Linked DNA regions of Rattus norvegicus. The protein of the gene in region 1 purifies or fractionates together with the protein of each later gene. This does not show direct contact. Links are inferred from orthologs where the notes say so. Each region holds a gene or a part of one and is shown in the gene's direction. Other genes may lie near its edges.

The links. Proteins that work in one complex are often made in the same cells at the same time.
Region 2: the proteins of Eif4g1 (region 1) and Eif3a purify together in Homo sapiens (affinity purification with western blotting; 4 studies listed by BioGRID, with this or other methods). This does not show direct contact. The link is inferred for Rattus norvegicus from reciprocal best matches to the Homo sapiens genes EIF4G1 and EIF3A.
Region 3: the proteins of Eif4g1 (region 1) and Eif3g purify together in Homo sapiens (affinity purification with mass spectrometry; 3 studies listed by BioGRID, with this or other methods). This does not show direct contact. The link is inferred for Rattus norvegicus from reciprocal best matches to the Homo sapiens genes EIF4G1 and EIF3G.

What each region holds. Positions count from the first base shown.
Region 1 is NC_086029.1:93,724,964-93,730,196, reverse strand, and holds the end of Eif4g1 (eukaryotic translation initiation factor 4 gamma 1), read left to right. Parts: coding exon 1-13; intron 14-250; coding exon 251-332; intron 333-442; coding exon 443-583; intron 584-3,240; coding exon 3,241-3,425; 3' UTR 3,426-3,875; downstream 3,876-5,233.
Region 2 is NC_086019.1:269,915,080-269,921,066, reverse strand, and holds the start of Eif3a (eukaryotic translation initiation factor 3 subunit A), read left to right. Parts: upstream 1-2,041; 5' UTR 2,042-2,225; coding exon 2,226-2,274; intron 2,275-5,987. UniProt on the Homo sapiens protein: RNA-binding component of the eukaryotic translation initiation factor 3 (eIF-3) complex, which is required for several steps in the initiation of protein synthesis.
Region 3 is NC_086026.1:27,706,001-27,711,976, reverse strand, and holds the start of Eif3g (eukaryotic translation initiation factor 3 subunit G), read left to right. Parts: upstream 1-2,030; 5' UTR 2,031-2,040; coding exon 2,041-2,060; intron 2,061-2,179; coding exon 2,180-2,226; intron 2,227-2,419; coding exon 2,420-2,503; intron 2,504-2,612; coding exon 2,613-2,701; intron 2,702-2,842; coding exon 2,843-2,902; intron 2,903-4,315; coding exon 4,316-4,420; intron 4,421-4,512; coding exon 4,513-4,702; intron 4,703-5,208; coding exon 5,209-5,316; intron 5,317-5,444; coding exon 5,445-5,581; intron 5,582-5,671; coding exon 5,672-5,778; intron 5,779-5,973; coding exon 5,974-5,976. UniProt on the Homo sapiens protein: RNA-binding component of the eukaryotic translation initiation factor 3 (eIF-3) complex, which is required for several steps in the initiation of protein synthesis.

The sequences.
Region 1 (5,233 bases):
TGACTGGATAGAGGTATGCTTCTCCATGGGTACCAGGGGAGGAGAGGGAGGACCAGCGTGTGTGTGACTGGATAGAGGTATGCTTCTCCATGGGTACCAGGGGAGGAGAGGGAGGACCAGCGTGTGTGTGACTGGATAGAGGTATGCTTCTCCATGGGTACCATACCTGGGGAGGAGAGAGGTAGATTTTGGAGTGGGTGGTTGGGGAGTAACGAGTGGATACTTAGGGTGCATTTGTGTTCCCACACAGGCCAACCTGAATGAGCAGCAGATAGCATCCAATACATTAGTTCGAGCCCTCATGACAACTGTCTGTTATTCTGCAATTATCTGTAAGCCAGAGAGGTGGTGGGACAGGGGTGGGCCAGGCAATCTAGGGCTAAGCCAAGTAAAATCTGCATTATTCCACTTTTTTGTTGTTTTGTTTGTTTTTTTCCTGTAGTTGAGACTCCTCTCCGAGTGGATGTTCAAGTGTTGAAAGTGCGAGCAAGACTGCTTCAGAAATACCTGAGTGATGAGCAGAAGGAGCTACAAGCACTCTATGCTCTCCAGGCCCTTGTAGTGACCTTAGAACAGCCTGCCAGTAAGAGCCAGGCTGCAGGGGAGGGTGGGGCGGAGGGACTGCCAGCTACAAGACTGTGCTCATGGAAGGTACTCAATGCAAGAGAGGCGGGGAGAGAGTAAAATGCCCCGGTGTTTGATTGTTACTTACCCTACCCTCTGCTTGTTTCCTTGCCTACAAATGGAATGAGTTAATCTAAGCCTGGAGGGTTGATTGCCTGCCCGCTTTGTGCTTGACCAGTAGATGACAGCAATGCAGAGGTGATAAACAGTAATATCTTTCAGATACCATGTGCCCATCTGTCTGACACAAGGCTAAAGTGCTTGCCTACCTTGTTAATGGTTGTTAGGGATTTGTCTCCATTTTCCTCATTGGAAGTGGGGGCTTATGACCATGTCTGAGGTTTGCAAATTCAGCACATGGGTATGCTTAGGTGTTGAAATAACTGTAGTGAGCTTAGTTCTATGCTGGCTTGGAGTCGGAGCATGAATGTTGGAAGATGGGTCCAAGAGATGATGGGTTTGAATTGGTTCCCTATAGATAGAGAGCAGGCAGCCTGAGTTGGAATAAAAACGTGAAAAGAGCTACTGAAGGAAGGTACAGCAGTCATGAACAAGAGGGACTGGAGAAGTGGGGGGAAGGGGACAGATACTTCAGGCTAGGTAAGTACTGACAAGGGGCTTGCACCAAATGGAGTAAGGCTTTTTTGGGATTGTAAGCAAAGAAAGGATGGTGTCACATCCTGTGATCCTAACACCAGAGGTAGAGAAATACTAGTGTGAGACTAGCCTTGGCTAATTAATTAGACCCTGTTTCAGAGAATGCCCCTATTCCCCAGGTGGTCATGGTGGCACTCAGAAGACAGGAAAGTGAGTCTCTGATCAAGACAACCAGGGCTACGTATATACAACAAAAAGCAAAACAGTAGTTGAAGCATAATTACCTTTAAAATACTGTCAGCTGTTTACTTCACTTTACAGTGGAGACTGAGGCTTACTTTGAATGGTTCTGCTGGGACTCCTGCCTTTTCCAATATGTTCTTACAAAAGGATGTGGGATTGCCTCAAGAATAAGAACCCTGGCAAAATAGAAGACACAGATAGGGCAGGGGTCTATGAGCAAAAAGAAAATTTGGTATAGAAAAATGGTTGAAAATGCTAGATGCCTCAGTGTGGTAGGAGCGTATCCAAAAATTAAGCACTTTGAGTATTTAAGACATTGAGGTCTTCCTAGCAAGCTTCAGTATTTGAGAGTAAGTAGGGTTCTGAAATTCTGAATTGGACAGGACTGAGACAGAAGGAAAAACAGATACAAAAATCTCGTTTAGCTTTGGGATAGTTGAAAGCTGGCGTTGTGGTAAGATTGGACTTAGCACACGTGGTAAATAGATGAGTGGTTGTACAGGGTTCTCAGGGGTGGGGCACGCACACACAGGTTTTGGAACACAAGATATGGGATAAGTGAAAGATCAGCTATATCCATAGAGACGTGGAAAACAGGAATGTCTGGCCTAAACTTCCCATAGTTGGTAAGCTAACTTGCCACCTTGGGCTGGGCTTGAGGTCCTGTGCTTCAGGTAATGGGGTTTGTGAGGAATGGGATGGACAGTGTTCTGGAATTGTATTCTAAGACAAGCACTTGAGGAAAGCTGCTTGTGATGGCCTAAAACAAGCACGGGTCAGAGGAGGTTGGGGGGGGGGGGATTCACCCTGAAGATGGGTGCTAAGAGAAATGTACCACTGGGCAGAGTGTCACTCCCCAGAGGCCAGAGGGGTACAAGTGTGTGGGAAGAAGAGGCAACAGTTGTTGGTAGTCTGTCTGCCACAGACTCGTAAATACTGGAACTCAGGTGTCCGGTGCCTAGCTTTCAACTTCCATTCATTATTTATTACTTATTTTGTCTCCGAGATGCAATCTTAATAGTCTGGGCTGGCCTCAAAACCAGTTATGTAGTTTAGGCTTTCCCTACCTTTGATCCTCCTTCCCTCTATATACCAAGTAATGGGATTCCAGTTGTGGGCACCAGACTTCCAGACTTTAACATTTTTCCTTTTTTTTTTTTTTTTTTTTTCCGGAGCTGGGGACGGAACCCAGGGCCTTGCGCCAAGCGCTCTACCACTGAGCTAAATCCCCAACCCCTGTTTTTGTTTTTTTTAAGCCAAGGTTTCTCTCTGTAGTCTTGCAGGCTAGCCAAGTGTTGGGACTATAGGCATAATATACCATCACACCCAGCCTTCCCTCCCTTTGCTCTCTTGAGATGTGGTCTCACTGATAACAGAACTAGCTGGCCTAGAAACAAGTCTATTGCAGACCAAGGTAGTCTCAAACTCAATCTACCCTTCTCTTCCTCCTGAGCACTGAGATTAAATGTGTGTACCTGGTCTCAGTTTCTCCCCCTTTCAGACAATTTTGCTAAGCTGCCAGTTTGCTATGAGCTTGCTATCTTGATCTGCCTCAGTCTCCCAAATATTTGGGTTTACATTTTCCTGTCTCTAAGGATTGCTAATGGCTAAGTAACCCATTCTTGGGCTGGTAATCTCTGTCATGAGATTGGTATTGTCAGAGGCCTAGTCACTCTGAATACCAGAATGGTAGATCAAGGTTGTGTTAGCAGTGTCTCTGTGGGAGGGATCTAAGGCTTTGGCTAGTCATCTAATTGTTGTCCTTGTGGCCTGCAGACCTGCTTCGGATGTTCTTTGATGCTCTGTATGATGAGGACGTGGTGAAGGAAGACGCCTTCTACAGCTGGGAGAGCAGCAAGGACCCTGCTGAACAGCAGGGCAAGGGTGTGGCCCTTAAATCTGTCACAGCATTCTTCAATTGGCTTCGTGAGGCTGAGGACGAGGAGTCTGATCACAACTGATGGCGGGTGGGGCAGGGGACTTGGAGCCATGGACACGTGGATGGCCCAGCCAGCCAGCCGCCTGGACTGCAGGGGGGCGGCGGCGGCTGTGGCGGCAGTGGCAGTGGGTGCCTGTAGTGCGATGTGTCTTGAGCTAATAAAGTGGCTGATGAGGCAGGATGGCTTGGGGCTGCCTGGGGCCCCCCTCCAGGATGCTGCCAAGTGTCTCTCTCCTCCCCCCAGGGCACAGAGATATATATATAAAGTCTTGAAATTTGGTGTGTCTTTGCGGGGGGAGGGGCACTACCGCCTGCCTCTAGGGTCCTTTTTTATTTTCTGAAATCACTCTTGGGACTGCCGTCCTCGCTGCTGGGGGCATATGCCCCAGCCCCTGCACCACCCCTGCTGCTGCCAGGGCAGGGGGAAGGGTTGGGCACGGTGCCTGTAATTATTAAACATGAATTCAATTAAGTTTATTGCCTCTTTACTGATCTGAACCGTTGGAGTATACCAGATTTGTTCACTCATTGATACTTGTTTACCTATCAGAAAATTTCGGGAACCTGGGGAATTGCTTTTCTGAAGGGTTGGGATCATGGCATCAGTTTGACATGATGAAACGGGAGAGGAGTGCTGTAGGATACTTAAGTTTCTGCTGGATTGATCCAGGCCCTGAGTTTGAAGCCCTTGTAGAAGCCATAAGTGGGATGTCCCTTGTAAAATGACTGCACGGCCTACCGGCTTCTGTCCTCAGTATAGCTCCGCAGTGGACTGGAGATTCTGTGAGACCCAGGCTGTCACTGAGTGGCTGTGACGTAGGCTTGCCCCGCCTGTTCTGGGTGGGCACGGCCCCGCGCTTACGTCACCGGCCCTGTTCCCCTCTCTCGGGAGCGGCAGCAGACGCGCTGCTCCCACCCCCTCCCCTTCTCACAGGCTGTCCCCTCCCTGGTGGTGACCGCGGCCCGACCCTCTGCAAGGCGATGGCCCGGGTCCCGAGCGCGGGCTAGCGTGCCTGGGTGCCCTGCCATGGGCTGTATTGGCTCTCGGCGCTCAGCCGGTCAGGGTAAGAGGCGGAGGCCGGAGCACGGATAGGGAGTTGGGCTACACAGCTGCCAGGTGGGACCGTGGGTGGTAGGGGCGGTGAGGAGGGGGCTGGTATAAGGAGAGGGAGGAGCCTGCGTCAGGGAGGCGGGTTGGGCCAGATGAGCGTACTGCGAGGGGGCTAACTGACTCTGGCTTGTTCTGTGGCCTGCCTGCTACTGGGATTTTCCGTGGTGTACTCACCTTCTGCTTTTTGCCTGTATTCCTGCTGCTGAGTGGCTGCAGGGGCACAGCCTGGGAGCCACAGGACAACCTGCGGCCCCCTCCTTCCTGGCTCCTGGCAACTAGCCTATTGTATCTACATTCTTCATTGGCTACACCTACCTCTCTGATCTCACTGTCTTAGGAGTGGCTCTTTGCTCTGAACCTGCCTCTCCTACCTGGGTGCTATCATCCTCAGGAGTCAGCTTGCAAATGCTGGCCAAGTACCCCACCACGGAATTTTTGCCTAACACTTGCTCCAAGCTTCAGAGCCAGCTGGTTAATTAAACGGTCCGAAGCCCCAGGTGGAGCATCTGTGAACAAATTGATAATCTCTCACGCTAACATAATTTTATTCCTATTAACCCCCCAAAACAAACAAACAAACAAATCACCTTTGTCTGAGGAGAAAAAGTCCAGAGACGGGACATCATCGAGTCTTCTCATAACAGCTGAGCCCTGCCCAGGCCTCCTGGTTTCCATGAAGACCTGTGTGTGTGTGTGTGTGTGTGTGTGTGTGTGTGTGT
Region 2 (5,987 bases), on another chromosome or scaffold:
TTAATGCACTTACATGATCATTGGCTATTACATCACCAATGATTCTTATGCTTTAAATAACATGAAGGGAAAATTATCAGTATGAGAGATATTTCATTTCACTTCATTTTTTTAATTTTCTAGTGCTTATCTGACTGTGGGCCTACTACATAGGTAATGCTGAACCCATTTTACTTTTATGACTATTTTGCCTTTTGAATGTTTGTGCACTTGTTGCTTGTAGAGGTCAGAAAGTGTCAGATACCCTAGAACTGAAGTTATGGATGATTATAAACCACCTTATGGAAGCTTAGAATCAAACATGGATCCTCTTCAGGAACAGAAAGTACTCTTAACTGCTAAGCCATTTTTTCAGCTCCTATTTTTACTATTTTCTGATGTAATAAAGGAATCGAGAATGTGTAGAAAGCCTTTTCTGATATTTAGACCAAGTTTCTTTTGATTTTACTGTTTGCATCTTTCTTTAGCCTATTATGTAATTAAAAACTTCAAGAAGGAACCATTTGCTCTTTATGTTTGACTTTTAAAATTTGACTTAATTATAATATACACAAAGAAGTCCCTTGATCATGCCCATAAAACAGTTGCTAAAGCTTGTAACACTAGATGTTCTTTTACATCAGTCCTGTCTGGTACTTGCTTTTGGAGGTGAAAGTTCGTGCATTTAGCATGGTCTAAGTATTCTGGAGGAAGAACTCTTGAAATCAACTTTAAAGTATTCTTTGTTTTTAATGTGTCTGTGTCTTTGGGTATGTTCATGTGAATGTAAGTGTTGGGGAAGCCAGAGATGATAGATACGCACGGAACTAGAATTAGAGGTGGTTATGAGCAACCTAACGTGGGTGCTGAGAGCTGAACTAAAGTGCTCTGCAAGATTAGTATCTCTTCAGACCTTTAAATAGCTTAAAAATAGTTTTAATTTGTTTTTCCGAGAAAGGGTTTCTCTGTGTAGAACTCACTCTATAGACCAGGCTGACCTCGAACTCACAGGGATCTGCCTCTCTCTGCCTCCTGAGTGCTGGGATGAAAGGTGTGGGTTCCCACTGAGCTTAAGGTTTTACTTTTCTTTTTAAGGTTTCCTCATTCATTGATACACTATCTCACTAATTTACATATCCCATATTATTGTAAAATATATAATGAACTTGCAATAATTTATTCATTTCCTTCTGAATTTTCTCTGAACCTTTGTGTGGTGCCAGGGATTATGGGCCTGTGCGTGATAGAGGAGCGCTCAGCCACTTTACATCTGCAGCCCTGAACTCAAGTTAATTTCCTACCAAGAGCCTCAGAATTCGACGCGGTTTTAAATGGCTTTCAAGCTCTAAGCATAGTAATTAATCTATGAACACTAAATTTGTTAGGTAGCAATAAAAGACATGGCTTGCAGTAAGCCATTTCCTCACCAACACGCATTTCTTGTATTTGTGACGTGAGTTGTATGTAAAAATCGATGACACTCGCGTATTTTCAAACACTATACAAGACGGTTCTATCTGTGTTCCTGGGTCTTCTACTCAAAGGAGGTGGCTCTGCCCCTGCTCGTCTTCTTTCAGGAATCCTTGAGACGCTAACCCTACAAGGATACCAAATAACTCTGTTTATTATTTGCTTGTTCCCTCCCCTTCCTTGTCAGTTAAGCGACTGGTGCCCTATTTCTTAGCAACGAACACCACTGGACAGCGATACCGGCTCAGCACTTCCGTTAAGTATTTTGAACCTTTCCAGGCGATGTCTCCGCACAGCCGTTGCGACCTTAACGCGGCCAGATTCTGCGCACGTCATTTTGGGAATGACTGTTGTAGACACTGCCTTTTTTAGTCGCAGATCTGACCGCAGATTTTCCTTTCCCACCCTATGTCCGCTGGAGCAGTGGTGGCCGGAGAAAACTTCTTGGGGTTCCCTCCCGCGACCCAAAGAACACAACTGTTCTCGCTGCCCGGCACCCATCGCCACGTCAGCTCACGCTCGCGACGCCAGCACGCCTGCGCGCAGAGAAAGGCGGAGCATGCGCAAAGGCCTGCCTCTTACATCCGGGGCTCGGGCGGCGGCGCTGCCGCCGCGAGGGAATCACGTGGCTCCTTCCTTTCCGTCTCTGGCCGGCTGGGCGCGGGCGACTGCTGGCGAGGCGCGTGGAAGCTCGCGCTAGTTCCCCTCCGCCTCCTCTCCCGGTCCAGGCCACTAGGGAGTTCGCTGACGCCGGGTGAACTGAGCGTACCGCCAAGATGCCGGCCTATTTCCAGAGGCCGGAAAATGCCCTCAAGCGCGCCAACGGTGAGTAAGGCAGCGGGTCGCGCCGCGCAGGGCTGGCCCGAGGCCTGGGAGTTCGAGGGCCCCCTCCTGCTGCCCGCACCCGGGCTGTGGAGGCCAGTGGTCACGGCCGCCGCCACCCGGCCATGTCTCACACGGCCTCCCTACTCAAGCGGGCCGCGGCGGAAAGCGCGGATCAGGAACCGTCGCTCCCGTGTGTGTCCACTGGCTGCGGCCCAAGGCTTGCGTCGGAGGGCCACGGCCCGCGGGTCAGATCTCTCTGATCTTGCGATTCTTAGCCACGATCGGCCTCCTGCTGGCCTTTCAGACCGTGGACTGCTTGGGAAGCCCCGCGCTCCCTGCCGCCATCTGGGAGTGCCGGGAGGAGGAAACATGGCTCCCTCCCGGGGACAATGCACGCGAGAACCTCAGCTCCACCTCCCGCCGGGGTCGGGAGCCCGGCTAGTCTACCTCCACCCCACCTCTCCGGCACGTCTGGCTCCAGATCCCACGCGGAGGCCTTCTGGGTCAGGGTCTACTTGCCTCACTACTAGTTTGCACTTCAGGCCTCTACTCCATTAACTTGTTTCCTGTGTGGTGTTTCCCTCCCCACGATTCGATAAGGGTCATTTCGAAAGTATTTCGAATCATTAAAAGTTAATATTCTTTAGGGATTTAAAAATGATCCTCCCCAGACAAGCTCCAGAAAGAGTGGTTTCCCCCAAGGTCACTTGGAAGTGTCAGGAAACTTAAGATCAAGGTCTCTCGATATCCAGTTCGGGTTTTTTTTTTTTCCCCCTTTTTCTCTTCTGTCTTTTTTTCCTTCCACCGCAGTGCCACTGAGTGCTATTTCTATTTCCATACGTGTGCTTAATTAAGCCTGGCACTTGCAGGAAAGACTTGCCCGGATCTCTGATATTGTGGTGGAAAAGTCGTGTGCATATATCTGATCTGACCTTTAAAAACTGCTTTTTGTTTTTTAAAATAAAACCTGATAATTATGTATCTGTGTCCCTTTTAACTCCTCCAGTCCAAACATAAACCATTTATGTTGCCGGTTTTGTGTTTGGCAAGATTACTAGAAGTGGAAGCCACATTTTATGAAAAGGCCATTTGAGTCAAAACTTACAAAAGAATACTGCTGATAATTTGTCAGGAATAAAGATGTGTTGGCTGCATACTTATATTTTTTATTTTGTGGAGGCAATCTGGAATAGAATAATAATGCACCGTGGATAACCTAATACTGCTAGCACTAATTTATTATTGAAATTAGAACTGTAGCTAATTTAGGACTTTTTGATGTTTTGAAACTTAGAATCACGTTGTGGTGTTGAAAATGGAATTGGACAGACATACTAAGTATAGCTATTATATATGTTTAAGCTGTAACATTCAGCAGCAGTCATTTTCCCCATAGTAGTCTAGCTAAAGCACTACAGTCTTTGGCCTACATACATACATAGTAACATGCTGACCCTATTTTTCTCTCCTGTTTGGAATCTTCATGTGAACTTGGTTAATATTTCAATAACTTTTTAAAGCAGAAAGGTTACATAATGTGTTCTAAATTCCTTTTCACAGTTTCTAAGTTGACTTGCTTAATGATGAGTAATCTGGGGAAAGTATCAGCAAAGTAGGGTAGTACTTTGTGGTACAGTGTGGCTAACTTAGGTCTTGTTGGTGCATTTTACCTAAGACCTGTAGTGACTTCTTGGTGCAGCCCCATTACAGTTGCCAGAATATTAAGGAGTAATACCTTAGCTTCCAAGGAACTTGACAGGAGCAGATTGTCTTATCTCACATGGTGCTGTTTATAAAACAAGTAGATGATAAAATGGGTTTTCACTCCTCAGAAATCTGTTTACCTAAACGTTTTATCTGTAGCATTTGTAGCCCCAGGGATATTTAGACCTAATCTATTGCATTATTTTAATAAATAGCCCTTCAAGTCACTCTAAGCTGTAATTAGGGGGTGGGAAAATGTCAAAGCCTTTTACCCTTACACTCTACAACTTCAGCCTTAAAAAGTAAAATTGAGGGGTTGGGGATTTAGCTCAGTGGTAGAGCACTTGCCTAGCAAGCACAAGGCCCTGGGTTCGGTCCCCAGCTCCGGAAAAAAAAGAAAAAAAAAAAAGTAAAACTGATATTATGAAACCCCACAACTAAGTAGTAACATTATAGCTTAGATACTTAATCTGTTGCAGGAATTGGTGAAAAATGAAGGATTGATGTGAGTCTTTTCTTTATTGGTAGATACATGGTTTCAGTCAAATCCTAAAGATAAATGCAGAGTGCCTATTCTAATAATACATATAATTCTGGATTTTGGTTTATAGACACTTGAAATCTTGAAATCAACTAAGTGTTGAAATAATTCCTTCTAGCTGCAAAAGCCTTCCCACAATATTAATTAGGTAATTTCAAGGACCTCAGTCTCAGTTGTAAGAGTAAGGACGAGTCACAGCCATGGATCATCATGAAGAGTTTGTTCGAATTTCAGTTCGTTGTTTATATTTTCCCTCCCCTTACTTTTCTTAGTGGGTGGGGGATTTTAAGGAGAGTGTGTGTGTGTGTGTGTGGGGGGGGTCCTCAGCTGCTCTGTGCCCTAAAACTCATGCTGAGGTGAAAGGCATGCTTCATCGCTTCATCACACCAAGCAGATGTTTTATATTCAAGTGAGCGTCTTTTTCCTTATTTGAAACTTTAAAAGCTAGATTTCTGGGCTTGGACTTGAACCTATCATTAAGAAAATGACTCTTTAATTCTGTCATAAAACGTTTATTTGTTTTTGTACTTTTTTTTTTTTGAGGCAGAGCCTTATTAGGTAGCCCAGATTGTTCTCAAATTTGATCTTATTACTTCAACCTCCTTCAGTGCAAATGATAGAGATTTGATTCTACAACATCAAATTTCTAAGCAAGAATTTAAAAGTGACAGGAAGAAATCACACTTGTGGGCAGAACCTGGGTTTGGTTGCCAGTACACACAGTTGCTTAAAATCAGTTGTAACTCCAGTTGAAAGGGGATCCATCCTCTTCTGACAACCAAAGGCTGTCAGAGTTATACATGGAAGCAAAGCTCTGATACACATAAAGTAAAAAACAAAAAATGTATTTTTTTAGAAGTAAAGACACCTTATATCTATTTAAAAAATTACACATTGGGAAAGTGGATTATTCTTATATTTCCAGTGTTTTGCATTTTAATTTTATCATGGGGTTAGTACTGAACTTAAACTTGATTTGTATTTCATATTGTAAACACTAATAGCTTAAAGTTTAAATCCTTATTGTAAAGTTAGGGATTAGGTATAATGTCATTTTAATGTTGCCGTTACAAGTTTTCTTTTAATTTCTATGGTATGAGTGCTTCGCTTGCATGTATGTCTATTACTATATGCAAGTAGTGCTCTCTTGGAGGTCAGAAGAGGGTGTCAGGAAATACCGAATCGGGATTCAGGAGTTATTGATGTAAACTTCCATGTAGGTGCTGGGAATAGAACCCAGGTCCTTGAAGAGTAGCCAGTGTTCTAAATTGCTAAGCTATCTAGCTGTTACAGTATTTACTGATTTTCTTTTTTTTTTTTTTTTGTTGTTGTTGTTGTTGTAGGGACTTTTGGGTTAAATTGTTTTGAAAAATGTCTAAATAACATGGAAAACAACCCTTGGCACATTTCCAGGAAGAGGGTAGTACTTAAAACAGGAAGATATTTTTGTTTCAATATAGTTGTACTT
Region 3 (5,976 bases), on another chromosome or scaffold:
AGATAAAATGTTAGGGCCTAGGTGACTGTTACCTGGGTAGCCTACCATTATAAGGAAACTTTCCCATGTCTCTGCTGTTACTAAGAAACTTTCTAATGCCGAGATTGATTACGTATTCTGTTATGCTCTGTGCCCTTGGAAATCAATCATGATAGAAGTCAGTAGAACGGTTTTGTATCATGACCCACAATAAGCCTGGACCCGAATCGGCCACCCAGCAGCACTTCCTGAACCATACATAAGTTTCTATGGCACTTGCCTTTGTAAGCTGCCCCTGGGATGGACCCCAACATAAGAGAGACACCTGCACCAGTGTAAGAAACTATTTGGAACAAGACTTCCATTTTGAGTAGGAGTTGAGTAAAGATTACATTCCCAAGACCTTCCTGGGAACTGACAACCTCAGAGAGCAAAAAGAGACATGAGCATGGATAACTGACATCCTGGTTGGCAAGTTTTTTTTTTAATTAAAAGATTTATTTATTTATTATATATAAGTACACTGCAGCTGTCTTCAGACACACCAGAAGAGGGCATCTGATATCATTACAGATGGTTGTGAGCCACCATGTGGTTGCTGGGATTTGAACTCAGGACCTCAGGAAGAGCAGTCAGCGCTCTTAACCACTGAGCCATCTCTCCAGCCCCCTGGCTGGCAAGTTAAGACTTGAATGTTAGACAAGGCAAGTCCCCTGCCACAGTTGAATACCCCAACCATTGGGAGCAGGGTAAGTGTACAACAAAGACATGATCCCAAGGAAATCTGCCTATCCCTAAATCCTGATTGGTGAAATAACTTGGCACAGATGTTTGTGGATTTGGGGCTTAACAACCCTGCAGGATCTTAGCTTGGGGTTCAGTCCCTGAATCTGGAGTGTGACCTTGGTCAACCAGTCCTGGGATGTACGCTAAATAAACTGTCCGTGTCTGTCAGAGATTGGTGTTCATGTGGTTTGTGAAGCGATTCATTGACCCCAACAGGAGGCCAAGACTGCGGGCCTGAGCTGCAGGACCCACATAGTGGAAGGAGAGGCCTCCTGCAAAGTGTCCCCTGACCTCCACACGTGTACTGTGCATAAGGGTTTGTGAGTGCACAAGCACGGTGTCTTCAAACACAGTACAAACACACACGCAAGTTTGCATGATAAAACCTAGCATGCGTCACAGAAAAGGAAGCACAGGAGACCAGGTGGTCTGAGTCTATATCTTCTTCAACAAACCAGAGTCCTGGTATCATCCAAACAACACAAATCAAGGGCATTCTTTTTTTTTTTTTTTTTTTTGGTTCTTTTTTTTTTTTTTTAAGGGCATTCTTGATACATGTGCTTTTCCCCCAGGCTTGTTGGTATAATGCCAGTTATTTGTCAATTGCTTGCATTCGGGAGTTCAGGGGCAAGCCTGGGGAACAAAGTAAGGGTTTTAGTTTTGGATACAGAGTCTCATGTAGCACAGGCTAGCCTGGAATCCAAAAAGTAGCTGAAATGGCCTTCAACTCATGATTTTCCAGCTTCCACCTCTAACACTGGGTGATAATTAAAACTAATTCTCCAAGAGGAGGGAGAGAACGAATCAGTTTCCAGTGTGGTGGTTTCATGTTCGTATTCCCGGCACTTGCTAGAATGAGGTGGAAAGATTCAAGGCTAGCTGGGGTACATACACCACAAGGTTCAGGACAGCCTCGTATTCAAGGCCACCCTGGGAATGATGTTCATGAGCGTTTTGGAGTTGAGACAGAAGGATTGTGGGGAGTTACTGATTATCCTAGCTATAGAGTGAGACACTGACATCTAGTTCCATCAGCCTAAAGAGGGAGTAAAAAGTTTAAAACGCTCTTAGAAGCTCTTTTCTAGACCCCCTTTCCAGGTTGGATGCCAGCGCTTTGCGGCACGCAAAACATGCATGTCCACATTTGTCCACAGGGAGGCGCTGTGGTCACCGCGGTCTGGCCGCTCTAGGCAGCGGCCACAGCACCGGAAGCCTCTTCTACACGGGCTTCCGGTCTTTACCCGGGCTGAGAGCTGCGTGGAGTAGGACTTCGAGATGCCGACTGGCGACTTTGAGTAAGTGTTCGGTGGCGGTGGGGGTCGCCAGAGAGGCCGAGTGGGGGCAGCTCTGGGGTGTATGGTGGTCCAGGTAGCGCGGGGCCCGGGACCCGCTCACCGATCTCCTGTCCCCGCAGCTCGAAGCCCAGCTGGGCCGACCAGGTGGAAGAGGAGGGAGAGGACGGTGAGTGCTTGTGCGCGGCCCCGCCCGCTGCGAGACCCGGATGCCCACGCACAGGCTAGGGCCGCTTGTGGCCAGTCCCACCCTCGCTTTGCGCTCTGCCCCTGGAGCGGTCCCCCACCCCAACCCCCGCCATTGGCTTGAAAGTTCCAGCGCTGTGGCTCACTTACCTTCCTCCCCGAATTCCCTCCGGCAGACAAGTGTGTCACCAGCGAGCTCCTGAAAGGAATCCCTCTGCCCACCGGTGACACCAGTCCAGAGCCGGAGTTACTTCCTGGAGGTGAGCACCGTCCATCCCTGCCTTCTTCTCCCTTCTCCCTTCCGATTCTCAAGCCTACTTTCCAGCCAGTCCCATTACCCAGGAGTTAGTTTCTGTGATCTTCCTCCAGACCCACTGCCACCTCCCAAGGAAGTCATCAATGGGAACATAAAGACGGTGACTGAGTACAAGGTAGAGGAAGATGGGAAGAAGTTCAAGGTAAGGGTGAGGTGGGCATATGTGGTCAGCGTGACTTGTTCAGGGGCTCTTAGATCGGTGGTGAAGAGTGTCAGTGTTGCTTTGGATGGCTGAGGCAGGCCTGAGACTCGGGAAGCACTCCTAACTCTTTCCCACCTTCAGATTGTCAGAACCTTCAGAATTGAGACCCGGAAGGCATCAAAGGCTGTGGCCAGGAGGAAGGTGAGAGTGTACTTATTTGGGGGATGGGGGTGTTCCCCAGGACTGACCAGAGGACTTAGGAAGCCCCTTTTTGTTGATGTAGAATAAAAGTTTAGTGTTAGGCCTTGAAAGTTTAGGACCCAGGAGTAGATGAAGTTAAGATTTTTTTTTCTTCTCCTTTTGTGCGCAGGTGTGCGCACTTTTGGTTTGAGATGGTCTCTTTATATTAGAAACTAGACTGGGCTTGCTGTTCCCACATAAGTACATGCCTCTGATCTCAGATCTTCATTGGGATCAACTCTGATGGGCACTTCTGTGACAAATACTGTACTGAGACATATCCAGCCCTCTTGGTTTTTCTGTTTGTAGTTTGTCTGTTTTTTCCAGACAGGGTTTCTCTGTAGCTCTAGCTGTTCTGAACTCTCTGTAGACCAGGCTGACCATGAACTCAGAGGTCCACCTGCCTTTACCCCAGACTTAGGATTTAAGGCACTGCCACCACTTCCTGGCTTGTTATTTTTGAGAGACTTTAGCTCTACAGTCTTCATTCAGAATGCTTCTGCCTCCCGAGTCCCCACTTAGATTCTTCCTCCTTTGTCTACATGAAGAAGCGAGCAGCCTCTACTTACCAAGGGGGCAAGGGCGTCTAGCCGGGGCAGCACTGCCTGAGAGCAAGCACCCCTCCCCCCCAAGTCATCTAGCTCGACATGGCTTCTCAATCCCCACGCCAGTTTAGGGAGGCAGGGGGCTTTGTGGCCCCCATGTTACAGGAAGGAAATGAACCTCAGGTCTAACTAGCTCAAGGTTCCTAAGATCTGGGGATTCCTCCTTCATTCCTGATGGGAGCTGGGCTACTGACCTGCCCAGAAACTGCAGTGGCACAGTTGAGCCCCATGCTCAACTTTTTGTGTGACTTTGGGATCAAGCTCAGGTTGTTACAAGTACAACAAGTAAACTGCACCTTTTCACACTGAGCTACGGCACCAGCACCTTTTCCTTTTCTTTTTTTTTTTTTTTTTTTTTTTTTTTTTTGGTTCTTTTTTTCGGAGCTGGGGACCGAACCCAGGGCCTTGCGCTTCCTAGGTAAGCGCTCTACCACTGAGCTAAGTCCCCAGCCCCCTTTTCCTTTTCTTATGTATTTATTCATTCATTTAGATGGGGCCTCATACAGCTCAAGCTGGTTTAGAGCTTGTGTCTCAGGATGGCCTGCAGCTCAGGATCCTCCTGTTTGCACCTGGCAGATGTTGGAGTGATGTCATGTGCCGCCATGTCTATCTTAGGAAGTGGGTATTGTCACTGTTACCACACGGAAGGCCTCTAGGGAAACTAGAACATAGGAGTCAAAGCCCCGGAATGGTTGTCTGTCTGGGGTGCTGCACTGTGGGATCCTTCCTGCCTTCATCCTCACCTCCCCATCTTTTCCTGGGAGCCCAGAATTGGAAGAAGTTTGGCAACTCAGAGTTTGACCCGCCAGGGCCCAATGTAGCCACTACCACAGTCAGTGATGACGTCTCCATGACATTCATCACTAGCAAAGAGGTGAGCAGGGTGAAACTGGAACCTGAGAAACGCAGAGGGAGTGGGGTGGGTAGGACATAGCAGCCCCTTCTGAGCCATCCCTTCCCCACCAGGACCTGAACTGCCAGGAGGAGGAGGACCCAATGAACAAGCTCAAGGGCCAGAAGATCGTGTCCTGCCGCATTTGCAAGGGCGACCATTGGACCACCCGCTGCCCCTACAAGGACACACTAGGACCCATGCAGAAGGAGCTGGCTGAGCAGCTGGGCCTGTCTACCGGGGAGAAGGAGAAATTGCCAGGAGGTGTGGGCATGGGGCGCCTGGGAGGGGCCTCAGCTGTTCCTTTTGTAGTGTACTGTTTTCTTTCCCTATATCACCTAGGGACAACTTTGGGCATGGTGGTCATTCTGATGCAAGTGTGACTGATGACTTACTCTAACTTGGGTGTGCGTGTGTATATGTATGTATGCACACATACATTCAGGTGACACCCACATATGTGCTGGGCTCAGTAGACCGAAATCTAACATGTCCTGTGGGGGTAACTGCCTTCTGTGACTTGATTCTTGCTATCATGGATGTGTTGCTGAGGGACATCCTATAGTCAGGCTGCTGCCAGCTGGTATTCTCTAGCTTGTAGGGAGGGCTCTGCAAGCCCGGATCACGTCTGCCCTGCTCACCTTGTCCATGTCGTGAGTAGAGACTCTGAAGGGTTGTAGCTTCCTGGATATGATGTGGGTCACCAAAGGGTGGCTGGACGCCTGTCCCCAGGGGTGGGCTGAATATCACTTTTGTCTGCTGCTTTCCAGAACTGGAGCCTGTGCAGGCCGCCCAGAACAAGACAGGGAAGTATGTGCCTCCTAGTCTCCGGGACGGGGCAAGCCGCCGTGGGGAGTCTATGCAGCCAAACCGCAGAGGTGAGGAGGGTAGGAAAACCCAGGGAGCAGGTGGTACCTAGACACCCTGTAATTAGTCCTGCGTTGTGGGCGTGGGTCTGACTACGGCATCCTCCTCACGGCTACCTCTCCCTGCCCTGCCCACAAAGCTGATGACAATGCCACCATCCGTGTCACTAATCTGTCTGAGGACACTCGTGAGACTGACTTACAGGAACTCTTCCGGCCTTTTGGCTCCATCTCCCGAATCTACTTGGCCAAGGACAAGACCACTGGGCAGTCCAAGGTGGGTGAACGGGGCTGAGGGATGGGTAACTGGAGAGTAGGCATCCCCTGACCCACTTCTCACCACCTCCATGTCTGCCTCGGCCCACAGGGTTTTGCCTTTATCAGCTTTCACCGCCGGGAGGATGCTGCGCGTGCCATTGCAGGGGTGTCTGGCTTTGGCTACGACCATCTTATCCTCAATGTCGAGTGGGCCAAGTAAGAACCCTTCTACCTTTCCCACATTCTCCCTGGCCCTGTTATGTGGTTGCCAGGTCTGTCTGAAGGAAGGTCCTTGCCAGGCATGAAGCTACTGGTCCCAAGCAGGCAAGGCCTGGGCTTCCCTGGTATGAGGTAACCTTCAGCATCACAGGTCCCCACCTGCATCCTGACCACCTCTCTTCCTCTTCCCAGGCC